Lepisosteus oculatus: one gene and its partner. The protein of the gene in region 1 interacts with the protein of each later gene in a biochemical or structural test. Links are inferred from orthologs where the notes say so. Each region holds a gene or a part of one and is shown on either strand. Other genes may lie near its edges. The genes, in order: map3k1 and map2k4a.

What was found.
Region 2: of the proteins of map3k1 (region 1) and map2k4a, one has a biochemical effect on the other in vitro, tested with the Homo sapiens proteins (7 studies listed by BioGRID and IntAct, with this or other methods). The link is inferred for Lepisosteus oculatus from reciprocal best matches to the Homo sapiens genes MAP3K1 and MAP2K4.

What each region holds. Positions count from the first base shown.
Region 1 is NC_090698.1:26,236,150-26,244,711, reverse strand, and holds the start of map3k1 (mitogen-activated protein kinase kinase kinase 1), read left to right. Parts: upstream 1-5,441; 5' UTR 5,442-5,591; coding exon 5,592-6,097; intron 6,098-6,166; exon of another isoform or gene 6,167-6,273; intron 6,274-8,562. UniProt on the Homo sapiens protein: Component of a protein kinase signal transduction cascade. Activates the ERK and JNK kinase pathways by phosphorylation of MAP2K1 and MAP2K4. May phosphorylate the MAPK8/JNK1 kinase.
Region 2 is NC_090704.1:37,382,163-37,390,931, reverse strand, and holds the start of map2k4a (dual specificity mitogen-activated protein kinase kinase 4a), read right to left. Parts: upstream 3,594-8,769; 5' UTR 3,327-3,593; coding exon 3,194-3,326; intron 2,310-3,193; coding exon 2,274-2,309; intron 1-2,273. Other genes in the region: tmem220 (transmembrane protein 220), read left to right, coding at 6,154-6,282, 6,695-6,724, 6,933-6,993, 7,105-7,228, 7,566-7,625, 8,332-8,464. UniProt on the Homo sapiens protein: Dual specificity protein kinase which acts as an essential component of the MAP kinase signal transduction pathway. Essential component of the stress-activated protein kinase/c-Jun N-terminal kinase (SAP/JNK) signaling pathway.

The DNA of each region.
Region 1 (8,562 bases):
TGTTGATATTTCTACCATTTAATTTGCCTTGCTTCTTGTTATAGAAACTCATGGGATAAGTATACACACAAAGTGAAACAAAGACAGTATTCATAGGGTTTCACAAAAAGCCTAATTTTTTTTAAGCAAATAATCTAATAGTAGGGCTACCCTTGCATATAAAGTCTTCAATATGCAATATCATTCTTTAATTTGTTTAAAAAACTCCAGGCTTCTTAAATTATACATTTCTTTATACATTAACCTGCCTCACACTTCATTGTTGTTGCACATTTTCAGCACAAAGATTGTTAAATAAGAGTAAAATGGAAAGGTAAAGAGTGCTTCTTGTGAATCAAAAAAATCCTTCAAAAGGTTTGCTTTTGATGAGGAACATGCAGTTGACTATTTGTATATGAAAAGCAGATCAGACTGGAGATAATCAAACCACATTGAGTGAAACCATGATTATTTTGGTCTACTAAAATATGACTTGTCAAATCATAACCTATGAATTAATTGTATATTTTATCAACTGAAAGCAAAAGCACCTGAGTTTTTATGGATGTATCCTTGAGTGTTTTCATTTCTGTATTTCATAATATGGGGCACAGCATGTTACAGCTAGTTAGCATTAACAAAATGTTGTTGTTGTTGTTGTTGTTGTTGTATCTAACTCAGTTCTCCGTTTCCAGAAATGTTGAGAACAGCTCATTGACTGTAACTCTGTTAGATAGAAATGTTGAAATAGGTTTTTGACTGCGTTTAAAACTAAAATGAGCCTGACTGTTTTATATGAACAACTGTAATTATATTTTGGATTTCATAATTTGATGCTAATACAAAAGGTAACATCTTAGTTTAAATGGAGGTAAAAATAATTGATTTCTAAAATAAAAAATCACTTTCACGATAAATGTGAAGATAACCTTGTATCTAAGAGTTCATTAATTGCAGCTCAGGGAGGTTGCCAGGCTGTGCCTGGGACACATGGGGAAGCTCTGCGTTAATTTAGCTCTTCTAATGTCTTCAAAGAAAAACTTTACAACCACGAGGCCCACTGAGGAAAGGCAGAGATCACCTGAGAGCTGAACTGTCTTCTACTGTGTAAAAATGATAAAGTTCATAAGGTGTGAAGAAGATCTGATATCTGACAGCACTCATTGATCTTTGACCTTCTTTGCTTCTCTGTACTGTACGTGCCAATCACAGGGCAAGATAGTTAACTGTCTCTTCCAAGCTAATACAAAAGGCATCTTATTATGTTGCAGCTTGTTATAGTGGTTTCTAAACACTGTGGCGGAGTTCTAATGAATTAGGCTAGAATGTTCAATTTCCTGACATTCATATCTGTATTTGAGTAGTGAATGATGCTACCTGTACTCCTGGCAAAATAATTCTATCATGATTTATTGTCAAGGTTAGCAAGGTGCCCAGTCATTAGCATTTCAGCTTTGGTTCAATTCCAGACCTGGGATGTGTTTTCGCCAGGTGCTCTGGTTTCCTTCCACAGTCCAAAGAAATAGTGGTAGGTTAATTTGCTTCTAGGAAAACTGGCTCCAGTGTGAATGAGTTTGTGTCCATATGCCCTGGTATGGACAGGTGTCCTGAACAGGTTATACTCTGCTTTGTGCCCATTGCTTGCTGGGATGGGCTCTGGCTCCCCCACAACCCTGTTTTAGATAAAGTAGTTAGAAAATGGATGGATGAGTAATTTTCTTCTATTTATGCAACTAAAGCTGCCAGAAATATTTCCAATGTAAATTCCCATGGTGCATCAAAACAAATTAAAACAAAATGCAGCTATAACCGAAATGACATTGATATTGGTAATATCTATATGGGATGCCATTTGGTATTGTGGTAGATTTACAGACAACGTTCATTTATTGAAAACTTATAGTATAAATTAACAAAATGTTTCTGTACATTGGCTGCAGAAATTGTGTTACCCATAGAGAATTGCTAAGTAAAGAAAGATGATGTGTCAAAATAATTAACACTTGCATCACTGTACATTAGTAACATACTGTAGGATGGCTACAGGTACAGGACCTGGTTACTGACCTGTACCTTGTTGTTTTATTCTAAATTAATTTTAGTGGCAAAGAAAGATCAAATACTTTACTCTGTTTTATGTGGCAAGCCAAATAATCATTTAACAATATGTCTTAATCATTTTTAGATATATTCATACATTTAAAGACATTTATAACTATGTGTAAGTATCTATTAATATTTACAATAGATCTTAAACTGATTAAGAAGTATCTCAAAATCTATAAAAAAATTAAAGATATCTATAAATGAGTTATAAATATCTTCAAATAGAGTGGTATAATATGATATTGCTGAATATAATAATAGATTTACACATTTTAGATTTTACCTAGCAATAATTTCATTGATCATGCAATGCTGCTTACAGTACAGTATGTCTCACTGCTGTCACCCTACTTATCTGAAGAGAAGAACAATGATATGTAATTGTATAGGGTGTATGGAGATTGTAAACCAATGCCACTGATTAGAAGATTATAAGTCTGTTCTGATGTACCTTATTTTATTCATGTGTTGGTATCAATAATTTTCAACATTTTTAGGCAATCCGTCCAACCCTTACCCTAATGAAGTCAAGACCGGTAGTGCATGCTTTTCCAATGTAAAATTTGCATTGTTCTGCACTGCCTAAAAAGGGGAGTGTTTATGTCTGTAGAGTCTATATGCTACTGTTTGCATAAGAACCCATGACAAACCTCTCTAAACTAGAAGAAGCTATTTTAAGGGTTTATGAGGACCTTTTAAAAGTGCTGTTGTTTACTTAGCAGGTACATGATAGGAATGTCCTCAGTTAAAACCCATCAATTTTAACTTGCTTTTGAGTTATTTTTCTTGTCCAGTCAGTAACACTGTAACATTCTAGTCACTTTTTAAAATAAAAGTGAAAATGTTTTTTTACACTGACATGCATTCTCATTCTCACAATTTTAAGCTATTTTAAAAGATGTAACTACTTATAACTAACACTTTGGAATACAATTTTTTCTCACACTTAATCTTCTTTGTTCCAAAGGTATAAAGGTATTTTTGTTACTGGCCATGAAAGAACACTGCTATATCAGAAGGATAAATGTTTCTTTTTCAAATTACTACCCAGGTTGTTTTCATAGCCTACGGACGAATGAACTTTTAAAAGGTAAAAATATCTAAATTTTTTGCCTTGGGTATGAAACCATATCTCCTGCCAGTGTTCACTCAGCATATATATTTCAAAGTCTTGAAACTTCACTCCTGTTCACTGAAGTTCAGAACAGAAATATCACTAATAAGAATGTCAGTCCTGCTTTTCTGTTGAAATAAGGCTCTTTTCTCCAGACTCTGCTTACAGCGTCTTTAAGGTGCAGTATTAGGAAGAGACAGGCGGTGACAGTGAGAGAATTCTCGAGTCTTTTTGAGCTTTTTACCTCTAGTAGTCTGCGTTTAGAACAGCAGCCCCAGGGTATGCTGGTCCCCAATACAAAAACAAGTACACAAGAGATTTGCACAGTATTCTACTACTTAGGTTTCTATGTCTGCATTTGATTTTCCTTGTACATTCTTGATTTTATCCTATTCTGGTGTCTTTTCTTAGATGAACAATACACTGCGGCCCTGTGCTGGCCTTCAAAAGTTGAAAATTGATGAAACTCAGTCACTCAAAGAGCTTCAATGTCTCAGAAATAACATTTCTGAGTTGTTTTGGTCAATACTTTTGACACTTGAAGGAAATAACAGGTAATATATAGTGTGTTTTTACTTAGGACTTCACCATAAAAACCTAACACTGAGGAGGGAGAAAAGTAATGTATAGCTTAACTGGAATAAGGACGTTATTATTAATTGATGGTACATACAACAGTAATCTCTCCTGACCATAGCTTTTCTTTGTCCATCTGGGTTGGATTACTTGGATTAACTTCCAGATATATTCATCTATCCAATTTCGCCTTTCCGTGAGAGTATGTCTACCAGAAGACTGATTACCCTTTTCACATGTGCAAGGCTTTAAATAAAATAAAAAAATTGAACAAAAAAGGAAACGTCATACCACTCACTCATGGTTAAGTAAAGCGATGTGTCAAACACAAATGTACATTTATATAAATTAAATATTTATACATTTATATTTATAGACATGATTTAAAAATGAATTTTGAAACTAAACAAACACATTTTTACAGCTCAAAAATAAAAACATAACTGTAGCATTTGATTTCCCCAAGTTAGTTGTCCACCACCAGGTGTACTGGGTTTACCAAGTATAAGGGTTTTGTTGTGTAAAGCAGAAAACATCCCATACTCAACAAACAAAAAGTAATTGTTTATCCACATGTTGTTAGGCTCTTTACAACCCCTAGGCAGTTTTATCTTTACTATATAATATATAAATTACTAGTACAATACATTTGGTTGTGGATATTTTGGCTGGATATCCTATCATCATGCAGGCTTGGGTGGCAATATACGGTGCCTCCTAAGAGTATCGGTGCATTTCCCCATACAGTCCTTTTCCGATATCAGTGACACTATACACTGTATAAAATGTAATAGTGGTTAGTGTGGACAAAGGGGCATACAGCTGTTACCACAGGCTAAAGGAGAAAGGTAGTTTGGTCAGACAACAAATATCTTTGCGCGCAACCTTCCGTCAATAACTATTTCTATCTGTGGTACTTCCACATACTGAACCAAGTCTGCCTTTTCTGTTTGTAAGTTTGTTAATCTAAATGGGAAAGATGGTGGGTATTTTATCCTGAATACAATGTACCAGCTGTCAGGAACAACAGGTGAGATTCGTTTGGTAAGCGTTTGAGTTTTAAAATTGGAATGGATTATTATATCACGACTTGAAAAATGACTAATCTTCATAACATTGGCCTTTTGAATTCTAAAAATCAGAAAATGTTCACTCTCCGTCCCACTTTATGATATCAGGTGATTTACAGTGACTGCATATTCTTCAGAGACTAAACGACAGGTGAAATCGAAAATGACACAGGTAACTAACAGTATACCAATGAAATTCTTAGTACAGGTGTAAAAACATTAAGCACCATAAAAATACGAAAATAAAATGAATAAATCTGTTTTTATTTGAATATGGTCTCCAACTAGATACTCATCACATTTGTAACACCAATCCACAAACATTAAAATGTTACCTACTAACGAATTTGTATTACTCTTATAACGGCAATTATTTTTTACATTTTAACTAAGCTTTAGAACTGGTGAACGTGAGCATGTCCTCGATTTAGTAAATACTTTAGCTTCACGGAATAAAGGCAAACAGAACGAATGGCAAGGAGAAAACCCAATACGGTAAACATATCAGATTGTAACTTTTTTTGGCTATTTATAACATTACTCCAGCCTTAGTAACTCGGGTGTCTCACTTTTTAAAGCCCATAAGCAGCAATCTTTAGCTACGCAAAGCACGCTGCCCCAGCTGCGCCGTTTGCGGTAGTGTGTAAACACCAGCAGCTCTCTCGCTCCTCCTCTCCACCTCTCCTCCCCCAGTTCCCTCCACTCCCTCTCCCAAAGAGCCTGAATGATAAACTCCGGGACAGAAAATGGCGGCGGCGGGGAGCCGGACCTCGTCGTCGGGAATAGCAGAGTTAAATAACGGCAGTGGCGTCGGCAGTCCTTCTCAGGGCACCTCCAGCACGGCTGGTCTTCCGAGCAGCCTCGGGCCGGCGAAGAGCGGCTGCGGCGGGGAAAACCCTCAGTGGAGACGCAGGGAGCTGCGGAAAGTGAGGAGTGTAGATCTGGACAAGCCCGAGTCGCTGCTGCTGTCTCCCGAGACCGGGACTGCTCCGATATCGGCGCAGCTGCACTTCTTGTCGATTTCTACTCCCGGTGGGATCCAGGCGACCCTCCTGCAACCCAGCCAGCCGGCTCCGCAGAGCAACTCGCTGCACAGCCGCCCCGTGTCGGACAGCTCGGGTCACGCCGGCGGCTTGTGCGCTGCCGCCGCTCTGGAATTGCTGAGCATCTCCACTCGTGGGAGCTGCGGCAACCACAATGCAGACTGTGGTGCCACGGGGGCTTCACTGGACATGATCTCTTCACCACATAGGTAGGAGATTAAGCCTTACTCCCCTCCTCCTCCCCCCGGAGTCTCGAATTTAACGGGCTTTGCTTTTCGTGTTGTGGGTGTTGTGATCTGCTTTACGGGTGAGGTGGATGTTTGCCACGGCAGAAGTGCAAGAAGCGCTTCAACTTTTCCCGGCGGATGTGATTTCCGAAACTTTTGTGAGTGTCACCACATTGCAGCCTTTAAAGAAGAGTTGATTGTGTGAAAAGCGCCGGGAAGTGAATTGCGATCCGTTTAAATTCTTAGTGGGGGAACGTTAGGAAATTTACGGATTTTTTTGTGTTTTATATCTTGGAAATCGCAATCTCAAAGGCGCAGGCGGCGAAAGAGTTGGTCTCTTTTAGATTGGGAAATGCGCTTTCGGGATGCAATTAATTGTGGAAGAGACCCCGGGATTGAAACACCATTGCCTGGTTTTAAAAATAACCCCGTTTTCCTCTTGGTTTCTAATGTCAGAGCTCAAACTGAAATCTTCTGCCTAATGAAGCCACACGGATACCTAGATACCTCTCCCGCAGCTGAAAGTGGGAATTCAACATTTTACACCGAAGATCAACGAAACAGCGATTGTTTACTTTTAAGGTTAACGGTCCCACCAAACGTTTATTTTAATTATTTCTCAGGTTTGGCACGTCAACCTTTTCCTCGTTAGCCCAAAATACGTGCGTAATGGCTGTTTCCTAGCATTTCTTGAGTCCACGTCCGCATCCTGCTACCTCAGTGACAGAGGTCATGATCGCCTCTACGTTTGAAAATGTGTAACGTGTGGTTTCCAGCCTATCAGCTGGAGCTGTTGAAAGACATTGTTCCGGCTGTTTCTATAGCCAAGCCGGATTTTGTAGTACGTTTCAAGGTATACATGGGGTGTAAAGTCCTTTTTTATTAACATTCCGAGGAAAGTAACGTCTTCTGTTACTGAATCGATTAAATCAAGACGTGGAAATGCAAGATGAGCTATCGGTGATTTATGATGGCTTGCATGGGATTGATAGTAATGTGGTATATTCATACAGTTTAAAAGAGGTCCCGTCAGTGCTTTATTTGTAACTCTCCTCCTCCGGTCTTGCGCCTCAAGCCTGCAAGGTTTCGAGCACGTGAGCGGAGACGCCAGTTTCTGCTGGTGTGCAGCTGTGGGGAAACTCGCAGGAGCGCAGGGCTGTGATTGCCTTTGAGAGAGGGGGGAGAAAGAAGCCAGTTTCTTTTGAAATATGTAACTTTTTTATGTCGTGTAGAACAACAGTGGAGTTAAACAGTGGTACAGGGGGCACCAAGTAATTTCGGACTGCAGAGGTGTGCTAGATATATTTTAATTCTAATCGCTTATAAACGCAGTAGACGTGCATAGAGCGAAACATCTTTTTGTTTTGGTGGAGTTAAACTTTTCTTGCTGTGAAAGTTAAAAATTAATGGGGAAGTCCTTTACTCAGACGAATGAATCAATGTTATGGCGTGAGATGAAGCAGCGAAGCGGTTAGAATGAAGGACTGCGTTTTTGTTGTCAGTGCGGTGAAGGCTTTTTGTAAATCGGGGTGTAGAATTGGATAATATACGGTGAATACAATGCGTCAAGATAAAATGGTGAAAGAGCGGTATTCCAATGTGGTATATCACCTTTGCCTCTGAAAATGTACAACTGAAAACGCACGGGTCCAGTTTCTGCATAAATATAGTTCTAGTTTAGTGTATTGAATAGGGACAGATGGAAAGTGAGATAAAAAGCTACTTTACATATCTCGGGGCAGAACACACCAACCAGATACAAGATGTAGACATAAAAAACATATAAACACATCCCATGGTAAATAGAAATAACAGATGTAATTGCTCAACAATAATGGCATGTTAATAAATTATTAATATAATTTTAACTATTGCTGAATAGCAGAACAGTGAGTAAGCACTTAAAACTATCTGGCATAATGGTTCCCCTTCTGATTATAAGACTTTCTTTAGCCTCACAGGAAGATCATTAAGCTGGTAGAATTAAGTACAGAGCAGCATCCAGAAATGTTAGTTTTGCACAGATATGTTTTTTTGTTGGGAGTCTTTCACCATAATTACCTAAAGATTTTGCAGTTTTAAAGAGTGGATGGTTTAAGTACATGCTTTCTTTAAAATTCAGATAAGGTGGGTCGGAAACCATCTTTGTCAAAGTTTAGACCAGTCCTCCTGGAGCCATTTCCTGCAGTGGGAATGTACTGTATTGTGAACCGATACTATTGTTTTGAGCCAGGTTTCTTTGGGAATGTGGTTTCGTCTGTGTTTATAAGAGTCCTTTTTGAAGTTAAAAGTTCTCAAGAGTGTTTAGTGATAGAGATTTGACATGGGAACTTAATTTAAATGTGCCTTCAAGGCACAAACTCTTTCTTCCTATTTTTAAGACAATTTAAAAAGCAACCAGTATAGTAAATAACGCAGTTCCATGTTTTGTACATGTTCCACTTTGC
Region 2 (8,769 bases), on another chromosome or scaffold:
CCAGGTTAGAAACTGAACACCCCCAGTTGACGAGTGACAGTGAGCTGACTTAGTCCAGCTTCCAACACACGGACAGAACAAAGGAATTGTTCTCTAGATAGGAAGGGTATACTGATTTCTTTCTACATTTGAACATGAAAAGAACGGTTAGAGGCTAGCTTTTTTTCCCCAAGGCTAATGAATCCATTGATCTCATTTTTTAATATATTTAATTGATTTGCCCAGCTGAGCTTTCACACTATTACAAAAGGAAGCCTTCATTGTGTTAATCACAAGAAATAAAGTAGCTTACACACGGCAACTGCAGAAATAACTAAGAAACAAATAAAGGTCTAAAATAAGTACATAAGAAAGGTTACAAATGAGAGGAGACTATCTGTCCCTCTTAGTACAGATAGCTACAGACAGCTAGTACTTAACTATCTGTAGATAGTAGTAGCTGGTAGCTAATTGATCCAAATGTCTTCCTTCTTTTAAAGGAAGCCAGGTTTATCAGCATCAAAAACATGGCTGCACAGCTCTAGTTCTAGACGTTATGTAAAGAAGTGCCTCCTATTCTTAGTTTTAAATGTACTTCCCTGCTTGTTTTCTTACAAGATTTTCACAAGACATTCAACGGGTCAAATGGCCAAATCCCAATAAACTCTCTGACAAATAAGGTGATTAAGCAATTATTCAACAGTCAAAGTAAGGTATGTCCATAATGGTCAGTCATGACTGATCATTTAATCAAACATTGTGAAAACATATTTAATATTCAAATCTATTTTGTGTTGGAAAAGAAAATAAAATAAAGAGTGACAAGCTTTTTTTCTGATGCCCACTATATGTACTGTCACTTCAAAGTCAGATGTGTATAGGCCTTATGATATGACGAGACTGAAGAAAATATACTGTATTTATGTACATGTGAAAGCTTAATCTAGTTTAATAGCACTGTCAATACTAATACAAGCTATTAATTAAAGCTGAGTAATAACAAAAACTTTAAAGCTTCATTCTACAGCTTTGCAGAAACTGTAGAATTTGTGTTTTGAACTACTGTGAAGTTAATTAAATCCAACATGGTTTTATTAAAATTCCCCATGAAAAGTACCTTAGCAGCTAAAGATCAAGCTGTTCCTTTCTTCACAATGGTCAAAAAGCCAACTTATAATGATAGTAGTGCTAGTAACTAATTGATACAAGGGCCTCACCATGGTGTATTTTGAAGAATAACACAGAATCAGCTTTGCTTATATGATGGGATAGCTTGTTACTAACACCTACTTCCAAAAACTCCTTTTATTCAACTTACCTCCTTTAAGCCTAGTTATTATTTTCAGTCCTCTACACCTGGACTGTATTTCCATCTCTGTTATCTGCAGTTCATCTACAGTAGGCTATCTTCAATGTGCTTGGACACCTAACCCATTCATGTGACTTTTAGCAGGATACAATTATGTAACTATGCCACACAGCTGCACAGCAATAATAAGGAACTGCTGCACTTTTAACAAGGCTTGTAATTCAGCAAACGCATGGCAATTGCAGAACTGTGCTCAAACTGCATTCTTCAATTTGATTTCTTGCAGCTCGGTAAGCTTTGGCAATACTCCTAAGGGATTCCAATCAATTCAAACTTAGTCAATAGCCAAAATATTAAGCTATGAAACAACAGCTTTTGCCAGCACCTTTTCCTTCAGTGCCATAAACTAAAAGTGAAAAACATACTGCCAACCCCTGACCTAATGGACACACAAAATGGGAGTAATCTATTAATACTGCATGCGTTGCACAGACATTTCTTTCACATAACAATATGGAAATTCAAGGTAAAAAGCATTCCAATGGACATAAATACTTTTTCACCAACTACTCTTATTTGAATAGGAATTTCCTGCATATTTTACCCATGTGCTGACTGTGCAAATATTGGCATTTCAATCACATATAAGTCCTACGGAAATTAATACTACACAATAAAAGTAGTTAATATATACGGCATGAACTAATAAAGAGTAGACTACTATTTCACTGGTATAAACTGATAAAAACAGTGGATACAGTATGTGTTCTTTTAAAAGCTTCAACATAAAATGCTTTCTTTCCTTAGTATTTAATACAAAAGGGCTTTTATCACAACAGAGATGCATTAGTAACATCCCCAAGCACTGCAGCCACATTGAGATGTTTATTTTGTGTCTGACAGCACGGCACTTAAAAACACATTTTACTTCTCAGTTCATAAAACATTACTACAGTACATTCCTATAAAATAGATAATAAAGTACCTGTTTCATTCTGACACCTCCAGCACGTGTTGGTCTCTGCAAGGTTTAAATGAAACATTTTATTCCTTGTATAATGCAACAATGTGTTATTAATCATGACTGTATTCATCTCGCCTACATGATTATCATGGCGCATTAGTTCATAAAATCTTCTGGCCATCGAATGTACACAAAGGAAGGGAAATCTGCAACATTTTTTTCTACAGTGCCCATTTTATTAAATATTTTATTGGCTGGAGATTTAAAGAAATTGCTACAGTAATCCACAAAGCGTTTGTACAGCTTCAGAGTTCGATTTTTTTATTTAATTTGCGGCGTAACATTAGTACTAAAACCATTATTAAACAACCTGTAGCAAGAATAAGCACTGCATAGTAGTCTTCAATAGCATAGGTATATGTGAACCAGGCTACTTACTGCACGTGAGGCCTTGAAATATCAAAAATAACACAACACAAGAAATGACAAAGCTCATTTAATTGAGCAGGTCACTGCAGCTTTCTAGCGGTATCCCTGAGTTTAACCTTTCACATTTGCAATGTAAAAAAATGGAACTGAATTTTAAAAGAAATGAAAAATATAATTTAAAAATCCGTATAAAACTAGACTATTTAGGCCTTTGGCCATAAAAATCATTCAGTGAAAACCGCCCCATAGAAATCCAGATCTGTAAAGTGATTTAACACGATGTCTAACACGTCTCGCTCTCGCAATCTTCTGGATTTTAGAAATGCCACGGAGAGGTAAATTAAAAGCTTCCTAAACATAGAGGCCTACAAACAGTGGCGATAAGGAAATGCAAACTGCATCGCTACGGTGCAGCATTACTAGAGTACACAGTGAGACTTTCACCAATCATGTTCTCCAATTATTCTGATAAAATAAAAACGTTTACGGACTTTTTGTTTTCTGGCGCTTACCCTGCATGCTGCTCACTGTTGTTATGTGCTGAGACTGGGACTGGTGCTGATGTGATGTAGATGTAGATCCTGCGTTATTGCTGTTGTTGCTGGAAGAGGTTGTTGAGTTGGTGCTGGGGCTGGGAGTCGCCATTGTTGTGTTTGATTCCAGCAGCAGCACTGAGGCTGCAATGCAGTGAGTGGCTTCACCCTTCACAGGCAGGGACACCTAGCTACAGAACTCAATATAGCACTACACCGCTTCAGTCTAAAACCCTTCAAAGTCTCGCAGGACACCTAGCTACGAAACTCAACATAGCAGAATACAATTTATATAATAAACTACTATTCAGTTTTGAACCATTGAGCAATCACGAGACAACTAGCTTGAGAAACCAGCACTACACAATACAGTACTCGGTTGAAGTACTCTATGTGACCAGCCCGTCAATTTCCGCCTACGTAGTCTGACAGCGCCTCAAAATCCACAATAAAGCAATAAAGTCTGATAAAGTCCGAGTATTTCCCATTCCACAGTAATCACCAGACCACTCCTAGTGCTATAAATGAAAGCCCTGAATTAAAAGGAGCCAAGACACACAAGGCATAACATTTGCGGTGCGAGTTGTAGTTAGTCCCACTTTATAAATAGTAAAGCCGTTGTTCAATCTAAGTTACATATTTTCAAATTATGCAAGGATTTGGTTATACTCTCCTCCCCCACCCAGAAATGGCAGTACTGCAACCTAATATGATTTTAGTGCTGAATGTAGAATAATTACTTGGAGATTTTCGTATACAAAAATTAAATACTACCTTTATCCCCTTACGTTTGACATAAATCAAAGCAGCTATAATAGCTGCAATAAAAACAAAATAACTGGACTGCTATAAATAGTAGCCGTTTGGGGGTTGGGGTCCCTGTAGTTGTTTATTCCTTTTGGGGATTTGGGGATTTTAGGTTGTGTCAGAGTGGGATTACAGGATGTCAATTCAGACTGAACAGGCAAGTGTGTGAATGTGGAGTGTGACTACAGTAGGACCTGCAGTGCTAAGTAGTGGTTAGTATCTGTGAGTTACAGCAGCTGTAAGAACTTTCATTTATTTTCAACATGTCCACATTATCATTATTGAACTGTAGTTTGACCTTCTGTCTCAGGAGGTCCTGAAGCAGAAGGGAATTGGAGACTAGGAGACAGGAGAGATAGAAACACAAATGCCATGTTGTAAAAAGGAGTACTCTCCGGGTCATTGTAAATACAAATTTGTTCTCTAAATTCTATAAAGTATTGATGAGTAGTGGAGTAGTGTGTGTAGTGGAGAATATGTGTCCCTTTATTAGGGCGGTGCAGTGGCTCTGTGGTTAAGGATCTGCGCCTGTGGCTAGAAGGTTGCCGGTTTGTATCCTTCAGCCTGCAGAAAAATCCTACCCCATTGGGCCCCTAAGCAAGGCCCTTAACCCCAACTGCTCCAGGGTCACTGTAAAAATGGCTGACCCTGCACTCTGACCCCAAGCCTCTCTCCCTGTCTGTATGTCTCACGGAGAGCAAGTTGGGGTATATTGAAAAGACAAATTCCTAATACAAGAAATTGTATATGGCCAATATATGATCTTATATTTCTTACTGCAGCATTATTGACTAGAAAAGCCTTTATAGAAGTGTACTGTAGTATGTCTACATATCCATAAATAGCGTACCAAGAGGCCATATTGCCTAGGTAAAGATGTGTATATGTAAATATATATTAATAATGCCTGTATCCCTATATGTCTATGGCGTGATGTTTTGGCTCTTGCATGACTCTTCTGAGAGGAGAATGCTCATAACTGTGTTCAGTAGGTGTGGTTGCTTATGACCGTCAGTGTGAGATTGCCCACACTGTCACATCACCACAGTCCTTGGGGTATAAGGGCCCCTTTTAGAGAGAGAGAGAGAGAGAGAGAGAGAGAGAGAGAGAGAGAGTTAATGCAGTTAGTGTCAGTCTGTGGGGCCGTGTGTTGGTGCCATCAATTGTCTGAGCTGCCTCTTTCAGATAAATAAAAAGCACACCACCCTTTTGGAGCTGCAGTCTGAGTCAGAAGATATCCTTTATCTTCAGGGCTTGCATAGATGCTGAGCAGTGTTACAATAATGTTAGTGGTGTCAGAGTGGGATTACAGGATGAAAATTCAAAGTGAACAGGCAAGTCAGTAGAAGGGCAATAAAAGCGAAGCACAGGACCACCAGTGTCTTCCAGGAGCCAGCTGACAGAAAACAGACTCCCGATACAGGAGGAAGATGTAACTGGGGAGCAAAGAAAGACTCCAGGCAGCAGAAAATTCATACAGAGATGAAAGGCACTAGGCAGGCCCCTCGACCCTGCTGGTGTGGAGGAGAGATGGAGGAAGAACTCCTGCATCACCTCCAGACCTCCTTGCGGCATGGGAATAGATCAGGAAGGTGGAAGACTGGCTGCAACAGTCAGCTTTTTAAATGGCTGAGTGGACCTGCGTAGGCACAGTTCACTTTTATGATGGCAGTGAGCAAGACCTGGCTCATTGTCCGGATCACTGAGGTTTTATGTCTGCCAGGGTAACATGGTAGTATGGCAGGTGCATGACCAACTAGTATAACTGGAGAACAGTTACAATAACAGCAACACAACAGCATTTTAATATTCTTTATTGTTCCTCTAAAGACATATGTCCAGATCTTTTCTTCTGTACCTCGATAAATATGCATTTATTTAAATGTTTGTTAACAGTAGATAACAACAGTTTACTACAGTATTCTCACAAGATCTACCAAAATTTTCAACTTTGTGCTTTCGCTTAATGCACAATGCACAATGCACAGTACAATACTATTCATTTGTGCTCTGTAACTAAGCTAATGGAACTATAATTCCCAAACTGCATTGCAAATGTCCATGTGATCTGACTCAAACTCAATAATGGCAGTTTCTTTTCTCTGAGCAAAGTACTGAAGAAAATAAGTAAAATGAGCAAGAAATACGAATTAACAAAAAACGGAAAAACAAAAAGCGGGTCTTCGGAGTGTTTTCAAGTATTATGGAGAAGCTGCAATTTATGTATGTTTTTTTTCTTTGCTTTAGCGGCATATGTGCAGGCAAGTACCGTACTAAAGACAAATGTGACTGGTTTTGGAAATTAAAGTGCAGTTGTTTTTATATATTTGTTTAAACTCTTTTATATCTTTATGGGTGTCTGTATGCTGTTTATATTAATAAATAGTACTGAGGCTGGTTACATACATTCTAATGTTTTAGAATTTAGAAGTCATAAGCACATATATTTCAACACTGTCATACTTAAGGAATTCGATGTCATCGTTCTGAATGCATTTTATGTATTTTGAGCAATATGCGGTATGGATAACTCAACATCCAAAAACGTATTGTTTCTCTCATGGCATAAACGTTTTTTGTTTTAAAAAACACTTTTAAAACTATTTTTTATCATTGTTGCTCTTTCAAACTAGACAGAAAATAAATAAATTTAATTATTTTTGATTATTCCAGATCAATGACCCCGATGCTGGCATATGGATGGTGAGTCCTAAACAGTACACCGTAGTACGAAGTATAAAACTGAATTCTTCACTTCAGAGAAAGCATACGAACTCTACCAGTGCGTATCTTCAAATGCATCTTGAATGGCCTCTGAAAAACATCGAGCGACACCTGCTGGCTGTATTTGTAAAATGTGACTGTTTTTATTTCCTGACTTCCAATATTATAAATGCGTTTGTATTTACAGGTTGCATATTCAATCCCAGCTTCTTTGTGTTTTCTGATAAGCCTTAAGCCTCCAATTACAGGTATGACTCTATCCTGATATCTGTTTTTATGTCATGAAAGCTGATCCAGTCCCTCCTATGTTATGTAGCTCAGTAACTTTGCAAAATCAAGATGAATGTGTTGTTTTTCAGAGGTATTAATCTGGAGGAGACTATCTGATCTTCATATGCTTATTTGTGCTGCTGTAGCTGCCATGTTGGGATGGTCCTTGTATAAAAGTAAAGCTGAAAATATCTTCCAGAAAGAAGAAGGAAGGTAATTGTCACTTTTCTATCCATAGGTAAACTCTGGCTTAGGTTTGAGCAATTAATATTAAAGACTGATTTTATAATTAATTCCTTAGTTTTATTTAGTAAATCCTAATGGATTGGCATCTGTTCTGAAAACACAACTATCAAGAAAATATAATTAAACATGTCAGTTATATTGGTCAAGAAAAAAAAGAATTGAATGTAATCTTAAGTACAGTTATATACACCATTGATGTAATCACCCTTTACTTTTATTTTTGGAAGTATTGTTACACTTCACTTGGTTTTAATCTCTCTCACCTTAGTTGATCACTGTATCATTTTTTTTGCTGTTCTCTAAGAGAGTTCTCTGGATTATTATTAATCGTGGTATGGCTGATCCTGTGTCGTCATTCAGGAAGGTGAGGTGTTCCTCTTGTTTTATTCATTGGTGAGAAATGTGATTAAAATGTGTTTACACTCTAATAGATATTCTAATGCAGTTTCTTCATTTTACAGTTCATTTTATCTAAAGGTACTGTAATGCATCTAAATCTATTTCTTTAACCGAAGGTTAAAACCTTTTTTACTTTACTCTCCTATATTAAAATAGCTGTTAAAAGGAATTCAAAACAATCAAAAGTTGTTTCTTTATCCATATTTTCTTAATAAAAACAGAGGCAAGAATCATAGAAAAAGTAGATTTTTACTTATATTGTATACTTTTATATTTAAGTAGGTAGCTGTGTCAGCATGTGTAGGCTAAAGGTTTATTCCATGCAGAAAAGAGAAGAAACCCAAGGCTCCACAGCCGAAACATTATGTTTATTTTCTTCTCTTTTCGGCATAGAATAAACGTTTACTTGTTCCTTAACTTTTGAAAACTAAAATGGGACATATCGTACTTCCTTTCTACAATGTCAAATTATAGTTTAGTGATGAGATACGTAATAATTTGGGCTTCCTTCTAATGACACTGAAGTCAAAATGAAATTGCAGAAGTTTTAGATTGACTTTTTCGATTGACTGTTTTTAAAATGTACAACATTGGGTAATGTTTTCATCCAGCCCAATAAAAGTCATTTTAAAATAGGTTCAGCATATCCAGTTATTTGTTTTCTATTTCAGGAATTCAGTTGGAGCCTTAAGAGTTTCCACTGCTGTGGGAATCACAGCTTTCCCTTTGGTGACATGGCTGTACTACTACATCAACAAGGAGCTGAGGTCCTCCTGGCCCTCACATTGTAAAACTGCACTTTAAATTACAAGAAAGAATATTAAGATAAACCTGTGTTTATAATACCACTGAATATGTTCCAATGTTTACAATTACTGAATATGTTTGTAAATAACCTGACATGTACACAGTAAATCCAATTTGCATTTTTGCATCAAAAGTTAAAAAGAGAATTCAAACGTGATACCTGTTTGATTGTAGAATACATACATGAAGTATATTTTGTCTCACTGCATTACACAGTTAGGTTTATCCTTAATGTATTTAGAATTTTTCTCTACAAAAAGCCTTTGGACTTTGTGAAGTCAAGAAATTTGAACTGAAGAAAT